4 linked regions of the Macaca fascicularis genome follow. The protein of the gene in region 3 purifies or fractionates together with the protein of the main gene of each other region. This does not show direct contact. Links are inferred from orthologs where the notes say so. Each region holds a gene or a part of one and is shown on either strand. Other genes may lie near its edges.

Region 1 (4,805 bases), on a different chromosome or scaffold from region 3:
ACAGATGAGCAACACAACAAATTAATCTGATAAAAACATTTCCAAGACAGAAAAAAAGTCTCAACTTATAAAGAAAAATTCAGAATTATTTTGTCTTGGATGCCCAAAATACGTATTTTTAAGTTTATTAAGAAACAGATACAAGCTGAGTACAGTGGCTCATGCCTGTTATCCCAGCATTTTGGGAAGCTGAGGTGGGAGAATCACTTGAGCCCAGGAGTTCAAGACTGGCCTGGGTAACATAGCAAGACCCTGTCTCTACCAAAAAAATAAATAAAAATTAGCTGGGCATGGGGACATGTGACTGTGGTCCCAGCTACTCAGGAGGCTAAGGTGGGAAGACTGCCTGAGCCCAGGAGGTCGAGGCTGCAGTAGGCCATGATTGTGCTACCACACTACAGCATGGGTGAGAGTGAGACCGTCTCCCTGCTCAAAAAAAAAAAAAGATAAAAAGATTTTTATTTTAAGAAAAAAAACAAACAAATACAAGTCAAGTACAATGCAGGAAATAAAATGGTCTAAAAACTATACTTCCTTAAGAAGGAAATCTAATGTTTATCAAACTAAGAGGTACAAAGAAGTCCAACAGATTACCTTTTTTTTGACACAGAGTCTCCCTCTGACACCCAGGCTGGAGTGCAGTGGCGCAATCTTGGCTCACTGCAACCTCCGCCTCCCTGGTTCAAGCAATTCTCCTGCCTCCGCTCCCAAGTAGCTGGGATTACAGGCACCTGCCACCACCCCCAGCTTATTTTTGTGTTTTTAGTAGAGACGGGGTTTCACCATGTTGGCCAGGTTGGTCTCGAGCTCCTGACCTCAAGTGATCCACCTGCCTCAGCCTCCCAAAGTGCTGGGATTACGCCACCGCGCCCTAGACACATTTTCATAGAAAGCAACATTTTATTCATCATAAACACAAAGTTCAAAAAAGTTTTACGCATGATAAATAAAAAGAAAAAATTCCATGTCAATTCACTGACATGCAATAGTCAACCTCACCTACGGGATTAATAATGCTACTAAGAGGTCTGGTTAGTTTTCCATGAATTGGATCCCAGTGCTAGTTGTATTCTTATTTCCTTAAAAAAAAAAACACATAGCAGAAAGAAGTCACGAAAGGAGTGTCTGAAGGACTCAGATGAGCACGAATGCTACATTACTACTAAGGAAGGCTGTCCTTATTTTAAATTATTCTATTAAAAATGGGAGAATGCAGAGGAATGACTCCCCTGTCATATGCCACACAAAATTAACAGGTAAGTACAATTCAGGCACATTCATAACACCATGTGTGGCCTCAAATATTATGCATACTTGTTGACTGATGTTAAGTATCAACTTACTGTACAAAGAAGAAATAAAACAAAACCCACAGTAATATATTTCTTTAAGAATACACTGAGCCGGTGTCGGGCGCGGTGGCTCAGGCCTGTAATCCCAGCACTGTGGAAGGCCGAGGTGGGCGGATCACGAGGTCAGGAGATCGAGACCATCTTGGCTAACACGGTGAAACCCCGTCTCTACTAACAATACAAAAAAATTAGCCAGGCGTGATGGCGGGCGCCCGTAGTCCCAGAGACTCGGGAGACTGAGGCAGGAGAATGGCATGAACCCAGGAGGAGGAGCTTGCAGTGAGCGGAGATCGCGCCACCGCACTCCAGCCTGGACGACAGAGGGAGACTCTGTCTCCAAAAAAAGAATACACTGAGTCGGATAAATACTAGCACGAGCTGATAAGCACTGCTAGAAACCTAAGTTCTGATTTCAGCAAATGCATAGAAACACTTTTCAAAAAAGCAGTATACCCTAGGCGGGGCGCGGTGGCTCAGGCCTGTAATACAAGCACTTTGGGAGGCCGAGGCGGGCAGATCACTTGAGGTCAGGAGTTCAAGACCAGCCTGGCCAACATGGCGAAACCCTGTCTCTACTAAAAATACAAAACAGCGGGAAGTCGTGGTGGGCGCCTGTAATCCCACCTAGTCGGGAGGCTGAGGCAGGACAATCGCCTGAACCCGGGAGGCAGAGGTTGCAGTGAGCAAGATCGCACCACTGCACTCGAGTTTGGGGGACAGAGTGAGACTCTATCTCAATTAAAAAAATAATAATAATTAAAAAGTTTTTAAAAAAGAAAAGCAGTATACCAAAGCCATTCCTTACCCATACATACATTTACTCTTACTTGGACTCAGGAGTAACAAAGAATTCACCTCCTTTAGAAAATCAAGAAAATGAAATGTTGAGTTCAGAAGCGGTTAAGGAAAAAGTATTTGTATTTATTGAGAACCAACTACTTTATCCACTTCAGTAACCTCAACAACATACTCAAAAACGGGATTCACCTCTGAATTAGCAAAAGAAAACCGACGATCCTAAAAAGCAATTTGGAGGAGTGGCAAAGAAAGAGCTGACGTTCGTTCCCGTCAGTACCAAACCACTCGGGCCCACCGCCTGCCCCTTCCTCAGAGACCTAAACACATTGGAGCCGCATTCCGGGAGCCGGTGGCATCTCCTGTCAGACGCCGGCCACTCCGCGCTCCTGTCACTTCCAGTGGTGGCGACCCCATCCCGAGGGCACTGCCGCGGGGGCTCGGCTCCGACTGCGGGAGACCCGGGGATGGGGTGGTGAGCCGAGTCTTCTAAGCAAAGCTGTTACAGCTGCGGGTCCTGGGGCAGCCCGAAGGCCAGAAGGGGCGACCCTGGGGCAGAGGCCGCGACATCCCTCGGGATCTCCACTGAGGCAACTGGGACAGCATTCGGGGGACTCGGCTCCCCCGACCCTCGGCGTGACGCCGGGTCGGACCGGGTCGCTTGGCACTGGGGCAGGCCCTCCACCGCGACGGGACGGGATACCCAGCGGGGGTCCCGGAGAAAGGAAGGGCGGGCCGCCGGGCGCCCCACAGCCGGAAGGGGCGAGCCCGCAAACAGGGCTCCCGCCCCGGCAGGGCTCACCTTCAGGTCGTTCTCTGGCAGGTACTTGCACAGCCGCGCTATCTCCACATACTTGTCCAGGTCTAGCGGCGCCATTTTAGGAATAACAAGCCGCGGCAACAGCAGCGGCGGCGGCTGTAGTAGCGGCGGCGGCAGCGGCGGAGGCCGAAGCCGGAACTTTCCCTGCGTCACGTCCGGCCCGTGAGTGGCGTCTGCGCAGCGCCGTTAAAGCTCGACCCGCTTCTCCCCGCTACCTCCGTACGCCCGGCGCCCCCTCTGGCAGAACCCCGGCTACAGGGCCCAAGAGACCCCTCTTCGATCCACCCCGCGAACCTGCTGGGACCCGTAGTCGTCTGCCGCGGGGCGTGCTGGGATGTGTAGTTTTCAGTTGTGGACAGCCACCTCCCCTCTTTTCCTCCCATTTCTCCAGACTTCCACCTGCCGGCAGCCGGCCAGGCTTTTCCGAGGCAAAACGGCGGAGTAGGTGGTCCTAGCCACTCACTGGTTTCTTTTTCCAACTCTTTTAAGCACTCTTTCACCAGAATATCTTAACAGTTGGGTAAGCCTGGCCGTTTGCACCTTTCCAAGTCCCTGTGAAAACCTCGCCTAAGCCTGTGGCAGAGATGTCAGGCTCCAGTCTTCCAATCTGAAAGGAAGGAAAACAAATATTAAAGGTTTTCTTATGCTAAATGCGATACAAATGCTGTTTTTCCATTTACTCTTCGTAACGATTGATAGGAAAGTGAGGCTTGGAGGCTTTAAGTAGTTTACCCCAAATCTCACAGGGAACAAAATGGCGGGACCAAGATTGGAAAAATGGCTTAAGCTTAAGCGTACTTCCAATGAGAATCCCACAAGGACATGGAGTTTTTTGCTGTAACTCCAGCACTGAGAACAGTACCTGGTACTAGCGTACCTTCAGCATTCGTTTATTCAAGCACTCTTTATTGAGCAACAAAGATGTGCCAGGTACAGCTGCAGGAGCTTGCAACACTTCATGAACAAAATAGACAAAGATCTCTATCCTATCCGTAGCTACAAAAAATACCAAAATTAGCCGGGTGCGGTAGTGCGTGCTTGTGGTCCCAGCTACTCTGGAGGCTGAGGAAGGAGAATCGCTTGAGCCGGGAGGCGGAGGTTGCAGTGAACCGAGATCGCGGCACTGCACTCCAGCTTGGGCGACAGAGCGAGATCCTCCTCAAAAATAAATTAGTAAAAGGTGGCCGGGCCCTGTGGCTCACGCCTGTAATCTCAGCACTTTGGGAGGCCGAGGCGTGCAGATCCCGAGGTCAGGAGATCGAGACCATCCTAGCTAACAAGGTGAAACCCCGTCTCTACTAAAAATACAAAAAGAAATAAGCGGGGCGTGGTGGCGGGCGCCTGTAGTCCCAGATATTCGGGAGGCTGAGGCAGGAGAATGGTGTGAACCCGGAGGCGGAGCTTGCAGGGAGCTGAGATCCCGCCACTGCACTCCAGCCTGGGCGACAGAGCGAGACTCTGTCCCAATAAATAAATAAATAATAAATAAATAAATAAATCAGTAAAAGGAAGCTGCTGTATGGGACTAGGGGTGGGGGTACAATGGCTGTAGCTAAGAGACCAGTTAGGAGACTGTTATGTAATCCAATAGTAGCAGGCGCTCAATAAATATTTGTTGCTCAAGAGTTCCTGGAATGAATCCTCTTGCTCTCTAAAGTGTATTTTGTGAACAAATGGCTAACCCTTAATGAGATATCTGTGTGAACTTCTTTGTATTATCCTTGTAACTGTTCTGAAAGTATGAAATTGTTTCAAAGTAAAATTAAATTTTTAAAGTTTGTTACAAAATGAATGATGCCCACAAGTATTCATTTCTTCATTCATTCAACTAATAGTTA
Region 2 (4,885 bases), on a different chromosome or scaffold from region 3:
TGGATCTTTACAGAAAAACTTTGCCAACTCCTAATCTAGAGCAACCGGGTCTCAAAATCTCAGGAAGGAGGAGAAAGGAGAAAAGAGATAAAAGAGGGACATGAAAGGATCACTGCACACCAGGCATTCGGCTACAAGCTTTGGGGAAGAAGGGATATTGAGACATTGAGACCTCAATATAACTACTTCCTTTTTTTTTTTGAGACGGAGTCTTGCTCTGTCTCCCAGGCTGGAGTGCAATGGTGCGATCTCGGCTCACTGCAACCTCCGCCTCCTGGGTTCAAGCGATTCTCCTGCCTCAGCCTCCCAAGTAGGTGGGATTACAGGCACCCACCACCACACCCAGCTAAGTTTTGCATTTTTAGTAGAGAGGGAGTTTCACTGTGTTGGTCAGGCTGGTCTCAAACTCCTAACTTCAGGTGACCCTCCCACCTTGGCCTCCCAAAGTGCTGGGATTACAGGTGTGAGCCACTGCACCCAGCCAACATACCTACTTCCTAAATGTCATCTGAGGCCTATATAGAGAGAGATAATGAGTGCCAACATCCATTTTGTGCCATCCTCACAAATATTTCTTGAAACAGACATTATTATCCCTATTTTACATATGAAGAAACAGGCTGCATAGAGAGCTTAAGTAACTGGCTGGGGGTCACAGAGCTGATAGGAGGCGGAGATGAGTTTTCAAAGCTGATCCATCACATTATGGAGCCTGAATTCTTTTCTGAAACCAGAAAACAAGCTCTCAAAGAAAGCAAGTGGCTAGCTTTTTTTTTTTTTCTGAGACACGGCCTCGCTCTGTTGCCCAGGCTAGAGTGTAGTGGCACGATCTCGGCTCACTGCAACCTCTGCCTCCCAGGTTCAAGTGATTCTCCTGCCTCAGCCTCCTGAGTAGCTGGGATTACAGGCGTGCACCACCACGCCTGGCTAATTTTTGTAATTTTAGTAGAGACAGTGTTTCACCATGTTGACCAGGCTGGTCTTGAACTCCTGACCTCAAGTGATCCACCCATCTTGGCCTCCCAAAGTGCTGAGATGAAATTATAGACCTGAGCCACTGTGCCCAGCCTATCAAGTGGCTAGCTTTTTTTTTCCTTTTTTTTTTTTTTTTTTTTTTTTGAGATAGTCTTGCTCTGTCACCAGGCAGGCTGGAGTGCAATGGCGCGATCTCGGCTCACTGCAACCTCCGCCTCCTAGGTTCAAGCAATTCTCCCACCTCAGCTTCCCAAGTAGCTGACATTACAGGCACCCGCCATTGTGCCTGGCTAATTTTTGTATTTTTGTAGAGATGGGGGTTTCACAATATTGCCCAGGCTGGTCTTGAACTCCTTACTTCAGGTGATCTACCCACTTCAGCCTCCCAAAGTGCTGGGATTACAGGCATGAGTCACCACACCAGGCCAAGTGGCTAGCTTTGAAAGAAATCTGGCAACATTATTTTTACCCACCTCATTCCTACCTCCCTGACCCCAGCCAAAGAAACGAAGCAGCTTCCAAAAGAAATGAGATAGGGGTCCCAAAGAAGTTCAGTGTATCCTTTCTGCTCCCTGTGTTAGCTTAGACCCCTGAATGAGGTGATGGGGCACAGGCAGGTCTCTGGTTATGTTTGCTGCCAGCGAACACCGAACATGGGGGAGGAACTGCTGACAGCAACCAAACAGCCAGGTGCTGTTGCTTGGAGGCAATGCTGGCTGGCCCTTTCGCAGTCTGAGAAGCTTTGAGTCTGGCTCTGGGATCCTAAATCTAGCGAGGTGGCCAATATTGGAGAAGACCCAAGAGAATCGGATAATAAAGGCTGAGGAGGAAAGGAGAGGCCAAATGACATGTTGTACTGGCTCTCCTCCAAATCTCCTGGCCCTGGGGGTGGGACACAGGGTCACAAAAACTCTTTGATGGTTCAAAATTTAACCTAACATTTCTTCTCCTGTAGAAAGTAAACCATTAATCCAACAGTGCCCTGCAAAGAAGGCTAAAGCAGAGCTTCTCTTCGCCTCAGATAAAGAAGGCTCCAGGAGCTACAATTCCTTCCCATGTGCTCCCTAGACACCCCATTCCAAGACAGGAGCACCCAAGTCTCTGATACCTTCCTGCTTCACCCATCTGCCTGACTTGGCTGAACGCTGGTGTCCTGGAACTCATTCTCCTTCTCTGACTTTCCTGTCCACTGTCAGAGAGTAGTGCCACAATTCCAAAAATGAAAGCAAAGTAAAAGATATAGAGGATCCATTCATTCAGCAAAGATTATTTTAGCACCTTTTAAGTGTCAGGCACAGAGAAGAGGACCCAGAAGAGTCTATGCACAAATACAATGGTGGGCCCTGGCTACCATCCCTTAGTGGGGCAGAGGCCAGTATGGGCAAAAGCCATCTGTCGTATCAGCTTCCGGGTTGTCTCCTGAGAGGCATTATCATCTGTACTTAGTTCTGGAATTTCAAGGCGTCCCCAGCCCCCTAATCTAACTACACACCCCTCTACTAAGTCAGCCACAGGCATCTCAGACACTCTCCCTAAATCATCCCCATGTCCTTGATGTACTAGGTTCATAAGTCAGTCAGGAATTTTGCTGCTCTGGGCTTCCAAGTGTGACCGCCTTTTTTTTTTTTTTTTTAATTGGTTAGTAAACTGAACTTAGGGACCCTGCCCTCTTCCGTTCTGCTGGACCTGTAGCTGTATGCTTATTCTACCAGGGGCTTGGGACCCAGACTAACCCTTTATTTGTGGGGGATAGAGAAGAAAAGGGTCAAGACCAACCAGTCCTCTTCTACCTCCTGCCAGTTTCCTGGCATGTGTTCTGGGTGCCATGCCAGACAGGTGGGGCAAGAGAGGGTCTGAGGGCAAGGACCCAGGAAAGGAGAGAGGGAAACTCACCAGACCTGGGAGATATCCCAAAGATGGGAGACCTGTTTCTGCCCTCAGTTGGTGACTTCAGTGTGGGAAAAAGTCCTGCTTCAGGTGGCCCCTTTAAGAACCAGTCCAGCACCTTGGTGGGGGTCCCCTCTCTCTTGGTCCTTTTAAGGGAGCTGCTCATGGTCCAGAAGTTTGCATAAGGGGGAACTCATTCCAGTACAGACCAGCTGCCTCTTCATCCACTGCAGCCCTTCCCTTCCCCGCCCTACTTCAAACACCCTAAACAGTGCTGTGCCCAGGCCCTTAACTCTTTCAGTGCCACTACTGATCCCAGGGACTCCTGGGTCCCTCTGTCTTCAGCATTCCCTGAACACAGGGCGGCTACAGAATTCAGACTTGTGTGGAAACAGGTACAAGAAGCCATGCTGGGGTCACCCTGAGGAGAGACTATACGGGAACCTGACAGTCCAGGGAAGGTTCATCCTTCCTCCAACAGGGTCAGGGAGAAACTGGGGAGGGGAGAAAGCGGACATCTCCAGGAAAGAAACAGCTGCAGCTGGAAACCCACTTCACAGCAGGGTCCTCAGCGGGGTCAGTGGCGTCCTTTGCCCTCTCAAATTAGGCTTCACAACTGATTGTTGGCCGGGCATGGTGGGTCATGCCTATAATCCCAGCACTTTGGGAGGCCGAGGCGGGCTGATCACTTGAGGTCGGGAGTTAGAGACCAGCTTGGCCAACATGGAGAAACCCCGTTTCTACTAAAAATATAAAAATTAGCCGGGGGTGGTGGTGTGCACCTGTAATCCTAGCTACTGGGGAGGCTGAGGCAGGAAAATCGCTTGAACCCGGGATGCAGAGGTTACAGCCAGCCGAAATCACGCCACTGTAATCCAGCCTGGGCAACAGAGCAAGATTCCATCTCAAAACAAACAAACAAACAACAATAAAAAAAACCTGATTGTTTGTCCCTTTAAGAGGCAGGTTACAGCAATGGAGGAGGAAAGATTGTATTTTTTTGTGATGAAAGTACAGGGTGGAGCGGTTACAAGGGCAGCTGCACTGAGAAGGGCCCTAGTGTCAGCACCAGGAACAAGGGTGACCAAGGAACTCAGCATATCCGGGGCTCATGGCTTGTTGTGGATACCAGGCGGCAGTATATTTGACCAGCTCCCCCACTCTCTTCCCAGATAACAGCTTCTGGGGCGGGGCAGTGGCTGACTCACCTTCACTGCTTTCCCTGGGGCAGAGGACAGCTGGGGCTGACGTCGGACTTCCTGAGGTAACGGAGAGCCCTCTTTGCCTCCTGTGGGCTAGTAGAAAGGGCATGTTAGAGCTGGAAGATCTTGGCTGCCTCTGCCAAGTCACTAGTTACAGGACCTTGTGTCACCTATTTAGCCTCATCCCCTTATCTGTAGAATGCAGATGTTAAATGAGACATGTGAGAACAGTGGAACATACATGCTGGGTCCGTAATAAATAAATATGCTAGCTGCCACTGGTGGGCAACCTTGGACAAGCCGCTTCACCCTGTGTCTTTCCTGATCTATTAAATGAGAGCATCAAATTAGGTAATCTATGGTTTATCCTTACTCAAAAATTCTCTCTGTCGGTGAGTGGAAGAGAGCAGCTGCTGCCGGATGTAGAACTGTGTGTGCCCTTCCCCACCTGGCTGGATCTCACCCACACGATGAGAAAGTGACAGTGGTTGTTCCTCATGTTCCTCACTGCATAAGAACAAAGGGGTAATACCTGCCCTATCATACCGGTGAGGGGTCCTCAAAAATCCTCTAAACAATTTCATGATTGTGCAGACGAGGAAACAGGCTCCAAGAGGCAGAGTTATTTTATATATACTTTATATATATATTAATTTTTATTTTCCATTGAGATAGGGTCTCACTCTGTCACCCAGGCTGGAGTGCTGTGGCATGATCATGGCTCACTGAAGCCTTGAACTCCCAGGCTCAAGCAGTCCTCTTGCCTCAGCCTCCTGAGTAGAAAGGGGCATGATTTACCCAAGGTCATACAGCCAGTGAGT
Region 3 (4,292 bases):
GTTAGTTTCAAGTAACATATTATTAGTTCATTTCCATAAAATATACAAAATAGTACTACTTTCCTTCAGAAAATTAGGTAGGTGGATTAAGAACAAAATACATTATTGTCAATGTTGTAATGAAGTTTCAGTTCAAAAGCATTTTAAATAATATGCCTTTTAGTTGTGATCATTTTAGAAATGAGTTTTGACAGTTGTAAACTATTAAAATTGCTTCTATGACTAATGAAACCTATTCCAACAGTCATGTTTAAAAAAATCCATTTATCATTTTTATAATTATAGGTCACAAAGTTTATACTAGATACTGACAGTACTCACGTTTGCAAGGCTGCGTTGGTTGCATTGATGAGGTTTCTATCTGTTATCTTTTCCAGTATTAACAAGGCACTAGTTTCATGACCCTACAAAAATTGTGGCAGATAAGTTATAAAAACTTGGGTACCATTCAAGGTACATTTATATACCCAACAATCTGCAACCCTAGTTCATATAATATGTACAACACCATTCATATGCCATGAATTTTCCTGGCTAATATCTTAATATTTGCCCAAACACATCTTGGGAGTGAGGGTAGGAGAAGAGGACAAAATTAAGATTAAGGAAAGAGGATAATTATACTTAGGCTTGTGTTCCAAAACTTATTTGGCTTACTGGACACTTTGATACGCCATGGTGCCTTATAAGTCAATAATTTTGTTCAAGAAATCTAATACCAGTGATCATTAGAGAGGTTTGGTCCTGAGTTCTGTTCATTTTAGTGAAGTCAAAAAACTTTTAATGCCACTGTTAACAATGAAAACATGTTCTTAAAATGTATACATACCTTGCTACAAGCCAAATGGAGGGCAGTATTTTTACTGTTATCTTGTAAAGTCAGTTCTGCACTAGCACTGCTAACCAGCATCTCTGGGAGGAAAAAGTGCATCAATTCTTATGTTTATGAACATGTTTCTTAGATTACCAATAACTCACTGTAGAGAAACGAAGATACAAAGCAAAACAGTCCCTCTCACAAAAACTTAAGTACAAGAAAAATATTGTAATATATAACATATATACTGTATCTTCACATAATTGTATGAGACAATTATATTGTTGTATAAGTCACACACTCTAACAATGGCAATTAACATTTATTTTGTGACTGTGCACTAAATTTTAAATACTGTTTTATATGCTCTGGATTTATAGTAATTTATTTAAACCTCACAACAACCCACCAAGTAGATACTGTTATTTTTCTCATTTTGTAAATGAGAAAACTGAGGGAGGCATCAGGTCATTTAGCTGGAAGATCTAGGACTCATATTGAGGCAATCCAACTCCAGAGTCAGTGTTCTTCACCACTATGTTATAGGGCCATCGTAAAGTAGACTCCTCAATCAGTAAGTGCAAACTAAAACATTGTATCCCTAAATGAAAATGTGGATTGCAAACAGGTAAAAGGTTTTAAGTCTTAGGAGTGGTAAGATAACTAGCTGAAGTCAGAAGTCTTGGGATCTAAGTTATAAATAAGTGATACACATACTTAGGAAAATACAATTTTAAAGTTTATTTACCAACTGTATTTGTTTGTCCATTTTCTGCAGCCATCATAAGAGGTGTTTTCCCTGTAGAGTCCACAGAATTGACTTGAGCATTATGGCTCAGCAGCAGCTGTAAACACTCTACATGGTCTGTGAAGGCAGCTGCATGGAGAGGAGTTCTGTGATAAAGAAAAATGGAAACGTATGACTAAATTTGAATGTTATATATGCTGGAAAAATATTCTTTAATTTGTCACATGCAGTTTTTAAGGGTTTACATATTAGGCTATAAAAGCACTGCCTGTATACAAACAAATAGGCTCAATGGAGCTCACTAATTTCTCCCATAGAAATTTGTACTTTCAATAATATAGAAGGCCTTAATTAAACTAGAACTAGTATGAAGTAAAGATTAATTACAAAATTGCTAAAATAACATTACATCATTAAAGGAAATTTTGAAAGAAATAAATCCTGACCTGAATACCACCACTTCTTACAACTGCTGGACTTTCTTCTAGCCTTTATTCCTATTTAGAAAACTTTTAACTTTGTTAACAATTATCTTTGGGAAACAAACAACTTCTAAAGAAAGGGGAAAAATTTACATTTTAAAATAGTTTAAAGGAGGAAAATTTCCTAAAATCTATAAATAGAAAAACCGTTTATAATGTAAAAATAATTGAGATCTTATAACAATTTATACTTGCAAATAAAAAAATCAACTTTTAAATAATAATGGGTTTTCTGTAAATTCTCTCACACCAGGCCAGTAGTTAAAATTTATTTCTTATTGAAAATAAAACTTTTTTGGGGGCTAGGGCAGAGACAGGATCTCACTCTGTCATCCAGGCTGGAATGCAATAGTGCAATCACAGCTCACTGCTGCCTCAAACTCCTGGGCTCAAGTGATCCTCCTGCCTCAGCCTCCTGAATAGCTGGGATCACAGGCATGCATCATCATGTCTTTTTTTTTTTTTTTTTGGGTGGAGATGCAGGTCTTAGTATGTTGACCAGGCTGGTCTTAAACTCCTGGCTTCAAGTTATCCTCCCACCTCGGCCTCCCAGATTGTTAGGATTATAGGCATGAGCCACTGTGCCTGGCTAAAACTATTTAATACATAGTTGAATTCCTACCTTCCTTTTGAATCTGTGGCGTTCACAATGCTGGCACCTAATGTGTCAATTAACATCTCAGCAGCACCTTCGTTGTCATTTATCCTGTGTAAGGTAACATGGTGATCATTCTCACAGCAATGGTATATTTCTTAAAACACTCAAACCAAGTCTGATTCATTCTGGCTTTACTTACACAGCACAATGCAATGGACTAAAAGCATTTCCTTCCGTTTTCTGGAAAACTTCCTGTTCTAAAAGCAGTTCTACACATGTCTCGTGACCTAAATAGGTGTAAAGAACCAGATATTAAAATTCAAAGGAGATACTGGCAAAAATCAGATACACATAAATGTTTAAAGGAAAAATGTAAAAGTCTCTCCCCCATCCCATCTCCCAGTTCCCCTCTCTGGAATATAACCACTGGTAGCTGTTAAACCACCAGTAGTTCCAGAAAATTTCTAGGCATATACAACTGCATGCGCATACATACATACAGTTGGCTCTCTGTATCCATGGGTTCTGCATCCATCAATTCAACCAAACCCAAATTAAAAATACTTGGGGGGAAAAAAAAACAGAGCAGACTTTTTTTCTTGTCATATACCCTAAATATAGCATAGCAATTATTTACACACCATTTACATTACATTGGCTATTATAAGTAATCCAGAGATGACTTAAAGTATAGCAGAGAATGTGCACAGGTTATATGCAAATACTATCCCATTTTCTATAAGGGACTTGAGCACCTGTTGGTTTTGGTATTCATAAGGGGTCCTGGAAACCAATCCTCAACAGCAAATGAGAGATGACTGTGCTATTTATTTTTTTAATGGCAATGGGATGTTTAATTCCGCAACTTGCTTTTTACTTAGTATTAACTACACATATCCTTCCATAATAGCATATATAGAAGTATTATTATTATTTTAGACGGAGTCTCGCTCTTTCATCCAGTCTGGAGCGCAGGGGCGCGATCTCGGCTCACTGCAACCTCTGCCTCCCAGCTTCAAGTGATTCTCCTGTCACAGCCTCCTGAGTAGCTGGGACTACAGGCGCCCACCACCATGCCCAGCTAACGTTTTTCGTATTTTTAGTAGAGACGGGGTTTCACCATGTTGGTCAGGCTGATCTCGAACTCCTGACCTCAGGTGATCCACCCGCCTCCATCTCCCAAAGTGCCTGGATTACAGGCGTGAGCCACCGTGCCCGGCTAAAATCTTATTCTTTAGTGTTCTGAAGAGCTTCACAGTATCCAAGTGTATGATAAATTATTTAATCTAATTATGGATTTTAAAGTGATTGTTAGTTTAAAAAAATTCTTCATGATATTATCAACAATGCTGTAATGAAACATTCTGGCATTTTTAAATTTTACTAAAACAATTTTTTGAGACAGGGTCCTGCTCTGTTGCCCAAGTTGAAGTGCGGTGGCATGATCATGGCTCACTGCAGCCTCAACCTCCTGGGCTCAAGTGATCCTCCCACCTCAGCCTCCTGAGTGGCTAAGACAACAGGTGCAAGGCTACCACATCTGGCTAATTTTTTGATATTTTGTAGAGATGAAGTTTTGCCATGCTACTTAGGCTGGTCTTGAATCCCTGAGCTCAAGTGATTTGCCTGCCTCAGCCTCCTAAAATG
Region 4 (4,853 bases), on a different chromosome or scaffold from region 3:
TACTCAGGAGGCTGAGGCATGAGAATTACTTGAACACGGGAGGCAGAGGTTGCAGTGAGCCAAGATCATACCACTGCACTGCAGCCTCCGTCTCAAAAATAAATAAATAAAAATAAAAGGTAACAGATGTGAAGGACAAATGGATTGGATTTTTGTTGTTGTTGTTGTTGTTGTTGTTTGAGGCAGAGTCTTGCTGTTGCCCAGGCTGGAGTGCTGTGGCGTGACGGCGCGATCTCGGCTCACTGCAAGCTCTGCCTCCCAGGTTCACGCCATTCTCCTGCCAGGTTCACACCATTCTCCTGCCTCAGCCTCCCGAGTAGCGGGGACTACAGGCGCCTGCCACCACGCCCGGCTAATTGTCTTGTATTTTTTAGTGGAGACGGGGTTTCACTGTGTTAGCTAGGATGGTCTCCATCTCCTGACCTTGTGATCTGCCTGCCTCGGCCTCCCAAAGTGCTGAGATTACAGGCGTGAGCCACCGCGCCCGGCCTTTTTTTTTTACTGCAACATCTGCCTCCCGGATTCAAGCAATTCTCCTGCCTCAGCCTCCCGAGTAGCTGGGATTACAGGCGCACACCGCCACATCCGGCCTTTTTTGTGTATTTTAGTAGAAACGGGGTTTCACCGTGTTGCCCAGGCTGGTCTCGAACTCCTGAGCTCACGCAATTCGCCCTCCTCGGCCTCCCAAAGTGCTGGGATTACAGGTGTGGAGTCTGGAACTCCTGAGCTCAGGTACACGCCTGAGCCACCGCGCCAGACCCTTTGTTTGTTTTTGAGACAGGTTCTCGCTGTCTCCTAGGCCGGAGTGCACTAGTGCAATCCGGCTCACTGCAGCCTGGGCTCAAGCGATTCCCCTGCCTTAGCCTCCCGAATAGCTGAGGCTACAGGCGCGGGCCACCATGCCCAACTAATTTTGTAAATTTTCTTTTGTAGAGACGGGGGTCTCCCTAGGCTGCCCAGGGTGGTCTCGAATTCCTGGGCTCATGCCATCCTTCTGCCTTGGGCCTTCCAAAGTGTTGTGATTACAGGCGTGAGCCACCGCGCCTGGCCAATTTGCAGTCTTTAAAAAAAAAAAAAAAAGTTCCTCGCGCCCACACGATTTTTACAGTGGGCCTCTAACATGGGCAGGGAGGGGGGGCTATTAAAGTTGGGGAAACTGAGGCTCAAAGCCAGATGGGGCCTTCATCAATCTAGACACAAGGTCTAGGAGGTCTCTTCCAGTTGATGCTATTAGAGGCGGCTTTGGGCGGAACTGGCAACACTAGCGACCCGGCCGGGACTATCGCCAGCAAATGGAAAGGACTGAGGGTTCCTGAGGCTCGCAGGCCGCTTATCTCGAGAGCCGGGCGGGACTAAGGCGCCTGGCCTTGGCTGGAGTGAAAACCAGGTCTGGATTTCACAAGAGCCCGACCCTGGAGCCAAAGCCGGACTATGATTAGAGGAGACAGAAGAGCGAACGGATTCCCAAACGGAGCGAGTGGGAAGGGAAATCCTGGGGCGGAATATTCACGGGGACTTGGAACGGAGCCGGTGCGCAGCTCCGGCTCATTGCGCTGTCTGGGTTTATTCCGGGCCAGACCGTTGGCACCAACGGGCGCAAGCGCGTCTACGGCGGCGGGGTTCAGGAGTGGGCGGGGTCGGAAGCACGCGGGCGCACGCGCACTGCACCACCCAGGCGTGCGGCCCCTCCCGCACCTGCGCACCGAGACCGCCGCGGGAGGGCGGGGCCTCCTGCGTCGTCCTGCGCTAGGGGGATTGTGGGATAGTGGCGGAGGGAGCCGGGCGTCGGAGGCCCTGAGGCGGGCCGCAGAGCCCGGAGACTGAGCGGCTTTGGGGAAGGGGCGGTTAAGGAAGTAGGCCTCGGCGTCCGTCGGTCGCTGCTCGGCTCTGCGGCCCGTTTGGACCGCGGAGGAGGACGTCTTCCCCTCCCGCGGGGCGCTGGGTTGGAGTGTGGAAACCGAGGCAACTTCCCCCGTCTTCCCGGCTGAGGCGCCTGCGCGGGCCTCGCGACCGGACTCGCCCGCAACCCGCCTTGGTCGGCGCGCCCACCTCGCCTGCGGACCCCGGAGGCGCCTACGCGGACTCGTGACACCCCCAGCCCGCCGGCAACCCCACCCGGCTCTGACCCCCTCAACTCTGCAGGACCCGGCGCGCGAGGACCCCACGACCCGCGGGCGCCTGCGCGGACCCCGCGAGCCCCGGCGCCTGCGCAAGTCCCCGACGCCGCCCCCGCCCCTACTTACCGGGCCCCGCAGCAGGGGCCGGAGCCGCCGGCGGCGGGGCGGGGGGGGCGCCCCGATGAGCCCCGAGTGCGAGGAGCCGCCGCCCCCCCTCGCAGGTGAGCGGCCCGTGTCGCCCGACCCTGCCTCTCCAGGACCAGGCCCCCACGTCTTCCCCTCTCCGGACCCCCGCCGGTCTTTTCTGCTTGGGATCCTCCTTCCTTCGGGTTCCCTCTCCACGGGCCCCCGTTTCTTCCCCCTCGACCCTCTCCAGTCTCTTAATCTCTCCTCAGCTCCCCCGCCACCCACCTCTCAGTTTCTTGCCCTCGGGCTTTTCCCACCCGCTCTCTTTGCAGCTGCGCTCCCCAGTCCCTGAGCCTCAGCTCCGCTCTCTTGCCTCTCTGGCCGGTCCCCCGGCTCCCCAGGAGTCTTTCCTCCTGGTTACCCTGGACTTTGCCCGCTCACACCCATCTCTCTCGCCCCAATCTCTGCCCCGCCGCCTCTTCCGCGGCGCAGCCTCCTTAGATCCGTTGCCTGTCACCCCGGAGCTCAGGACTGGGGGAGCGGGGCTTGTCTTCACCTTGACCGACCCTCTCCCGCCTCCGGTTTCTTGTGCGAGGGACCTGGGAGCGGGGCTTCTCTGGAGCAGCCACCACTCCGGCCTGCTTCAGTGAGATGAAGCCTGCTGAGGGCAGGCAGGGCGCCTGGCGCTGGGCTCCGAGGAGGGGTCATCAGTCCTAGGCCCTGCCCTGGAGGTGGGGCCGGTCCCTGGAGGGAGGGGGGACAAAGGCAGAACCGGACAGTCACAATTCCTGTGTGTTGTGATGGAGGTAACTTAGGGAGCTGCAGGGGGCCACAGAGCGCAAGGCACTGGTGAGACTGGCTGGATGGATGGCTTTTTCTGTCTAGGAAGGATGAGTAGGAGGTGACAGATGGAGAGTGGGAAGAAGGGCCTTCCGGGGGGGGGGGGAAGGAGCAGCACGTGCAGATATGTCAAGGAAGGAAGGTCGGAGTCCTGAGTGAAGATGTGTTGGGAGGGTGAGGGGCAGAGTAGCTCGGCCCGGGGTGCTTGTCCAGGCCTTGAATGGGACCTCTGGTTGGGGTCTTTCTTGCTCGCTCTTTGTACACACAGACATGACCATAAACATCCGCCTGAAAAGCAAGATGTTTCAGTAAAGGCAGCTGCGTAGACTGTCAGGCGCGGTACTGGGTTCACAGTTGTAGAGAAACTGCAGTGGGATTTCATCCAGCCCAAGGGCGAGGATCTAACCATCACCGTGCCCTGCAAATGCAGCAAGGACTGGAGATTGCCTGAGTAACCCGTGATGAGGACTTGGTTTACATCCATGCACAACACACGTGGAAATGCTCACGGCACCCGGCCACGTGTGCTTACTAGTGGTGGAACGGCTGTTGGAGCTGCTTGTGCTGTTTAAAATGTTACGCTTTTTTTTTTTTTTTTTTTTTTTTTAACTTTTGCCCAACATGTATCATTTTGCATAAGTTACATGAGACCACCTAACTCTAGTTCTGGGATTGGGATCATGAGAAGGCAGTCCAGCTAATTGTTAGAGGACCTTTTGTCAGACAGACCTAGGCCGAGTCTGGCTTCTGCTTTTCCAAGTGGTGAGATCTTGGACAAGTTGTTCTTCATCTGTAAGTGGGGATAGCAGACTGCTCTCCTCAGAGGGTAGTTCTAGGGATTAAGTGCAAGGTTTGTAGAAGCCTGGGTCAGAATGCAAGGTACATTGTGCTCTGCAATCAGTAGCTCTTTGGATGATGGTGATGATTTTGAGACTGAGTTTTGCTCCTTTGCCCAACCTGGAGTGCAGTGGTCTAATCATTGCTCACTGCAGCCTTGAACTGCTGGACTCAAGTGATCTTCCCACCTCAGCCTCCTGAGTAGCTGCGACTACAGGCACGTGCTGCAATGCTTGCTCAATTTTTGTATTTTTTTGTACACGCCCAGCTAATGTTTGTATTTTTTGTAAAGACTGGGTCTTGCTATGGTGCCCTGCCATGGTGCCCAGGCTGATTTCAAACTCGTGAGCTCAAGCAGTCCTCCTGCCTAGCCTCCCAGAGAGCTGGGATTATAGGTGTGGGACACCATATCTGGCCGTTCTTTCGATTGTTATTTGATTTGGGAGTGTCTGTTGCAGTGGTTCTCAGCTGGGGACAGTTGGTGATATCTGGAGATGTTTTTGGTTGTTCCAACTGGGGGGAGTGCTGCCAGTATCTGGTGAGTGGAGGTGGAGGCCAGGGATGTTGCTAAGTGTCCTCCAATGCACGGGCAGTCCCAGCACCAAAAAGAACTGTCCAGCCCAAATGTGGGCAGCGCAGAGGAGGAGAGCTTTGCTCCACTGCCGGGGTGCTGTGTGTCGTTGTGGCTCATTTACTCTGTTGTGACTCCTGAGCTGTGTGTTGGTGAGTTGTGTATTGCGAGTTGCCACCATCTTTGTGGCCGTTAGCTTTTGTTGGTTAATCTACTGTTTCTTTCCATTCGAGGAGAACCTGCTTGTCTGGTACCCTCCCCATTTTTTTTTCTGGGATGTGTGGCCCAGTGATCTTAACAGAACACCTTTCTCTGGCTTCAGTTTTCATTAATTCACAAGTAGCTTTAGTTGGGCCTGGCCT

Evidence for each region. The genes of interacting proteins can lie anywhere in the genome.
Region 1: the proteins of ANKRD28 (region 3) and PPP6C purify together in Homo sapiens (affinity purification with mass spectrometry; 9 studies listed by BioGRID and IntAct, with this or other methods). This does not show direct contact. The link is inferred for Macaca fascicularis from reciprocal best matches to the Homo sapiens genes ANKRD28 and PPP6C.
Region 2: the proteins of ANKRD28 (region 3) and ARHGEF2 purify together in Homo sapiens (affinity purification with mass spectrometry; 3 studies listed by BioGRID and IntAct, with this or other methods). This does not show direct contact. The link is inferred for Macaca fascicularis from reciprocal best matches to the Homo sapiens genes ANKRD28 and ARHGEF2.
Region 4: the proteins of ANKRD28 (region 3) and PPP6R1 purify together in Homo sapiens (co-immunoprecipitation; 4 studies listed by BioGRID and IntAct, with this or other methods). This does not show direct contact. The link is inferred for Macaca fascicularis from reciprocal best matches to the Homo sapiens genes ANKRD28 and PPP6R1.

The regions. Positions count from the first base shown.
Region 1 is NC_088389.1:18,865,229-18,870,033, reverse strand, and holds the start of PPP6C (serine/threonine-protein phosphatase 6 catalytic subunit), read right to left. Parts: upstream 3,102-4,805; 5' UTR 3,025-3,101; coding exon 2,950-3,024; intron 1-2,949.
Region 2 is NC_088375.1:105,084,054-105,088,938, reverse strand, and holds the start of ARHGEF2 (rho guanine nucleotide exchange factor 2), read right to left. Parts: upstream 3,102-4,885; 5' UTR 2,869-3,101; intron 1-2,868. UniProt on the Homo sapiens protein: Activates Rho-GTPases by promoting the exchange of GDP for GTP.
Region 3 is NC_088376.1:32,672,841-32,677,132, reverse strand, and holds part of ANKRD28 (serine/threonine-protein phosphatase 6 regulatory ankyrin repeat subunit A), read right to left. Parts: intron 2,933-4,292; coding exon 2,845-2,932; intron 2,754-2,844; coding exon 2,670-2,753; intron 1,712-2,669; coding exon 1,566-1,711; intron 978-1,565; exon of another isoform or gene 913-977; coding exon 830-912; intron 405-829; coding exon 322-404; intron 1-321. UniProt on the Homo sapiens protein: Regulatory subunit of protein phosphatase 6 (PP6) that may be involved in the recognition of phosphoprotein substrates. Involved in the PP6-mediated dephosphorylation of NFKBIE opposing its degradation in response to TNF-alpha.
Region 4 is NC_088393.1:63,193,262-63,198,114, reverse strand, and holds the start of PPP6R1 (serine/threonine-protein phosphatase 6 regulatory subunit 1), read left to right. Parts: upstream 1-1,752; 5' UTR 1,753-2,338; intron 2,339-4,853. UniProt on the Homo sapiens protein: Regulatory subunit of protein phosphatase 6 (PP6). May function as a scaffolding PP6 subunit. Involved in the PP6-mediated dephosphorylation of NFKBIE opposing its degradation in response to TNF-alpha.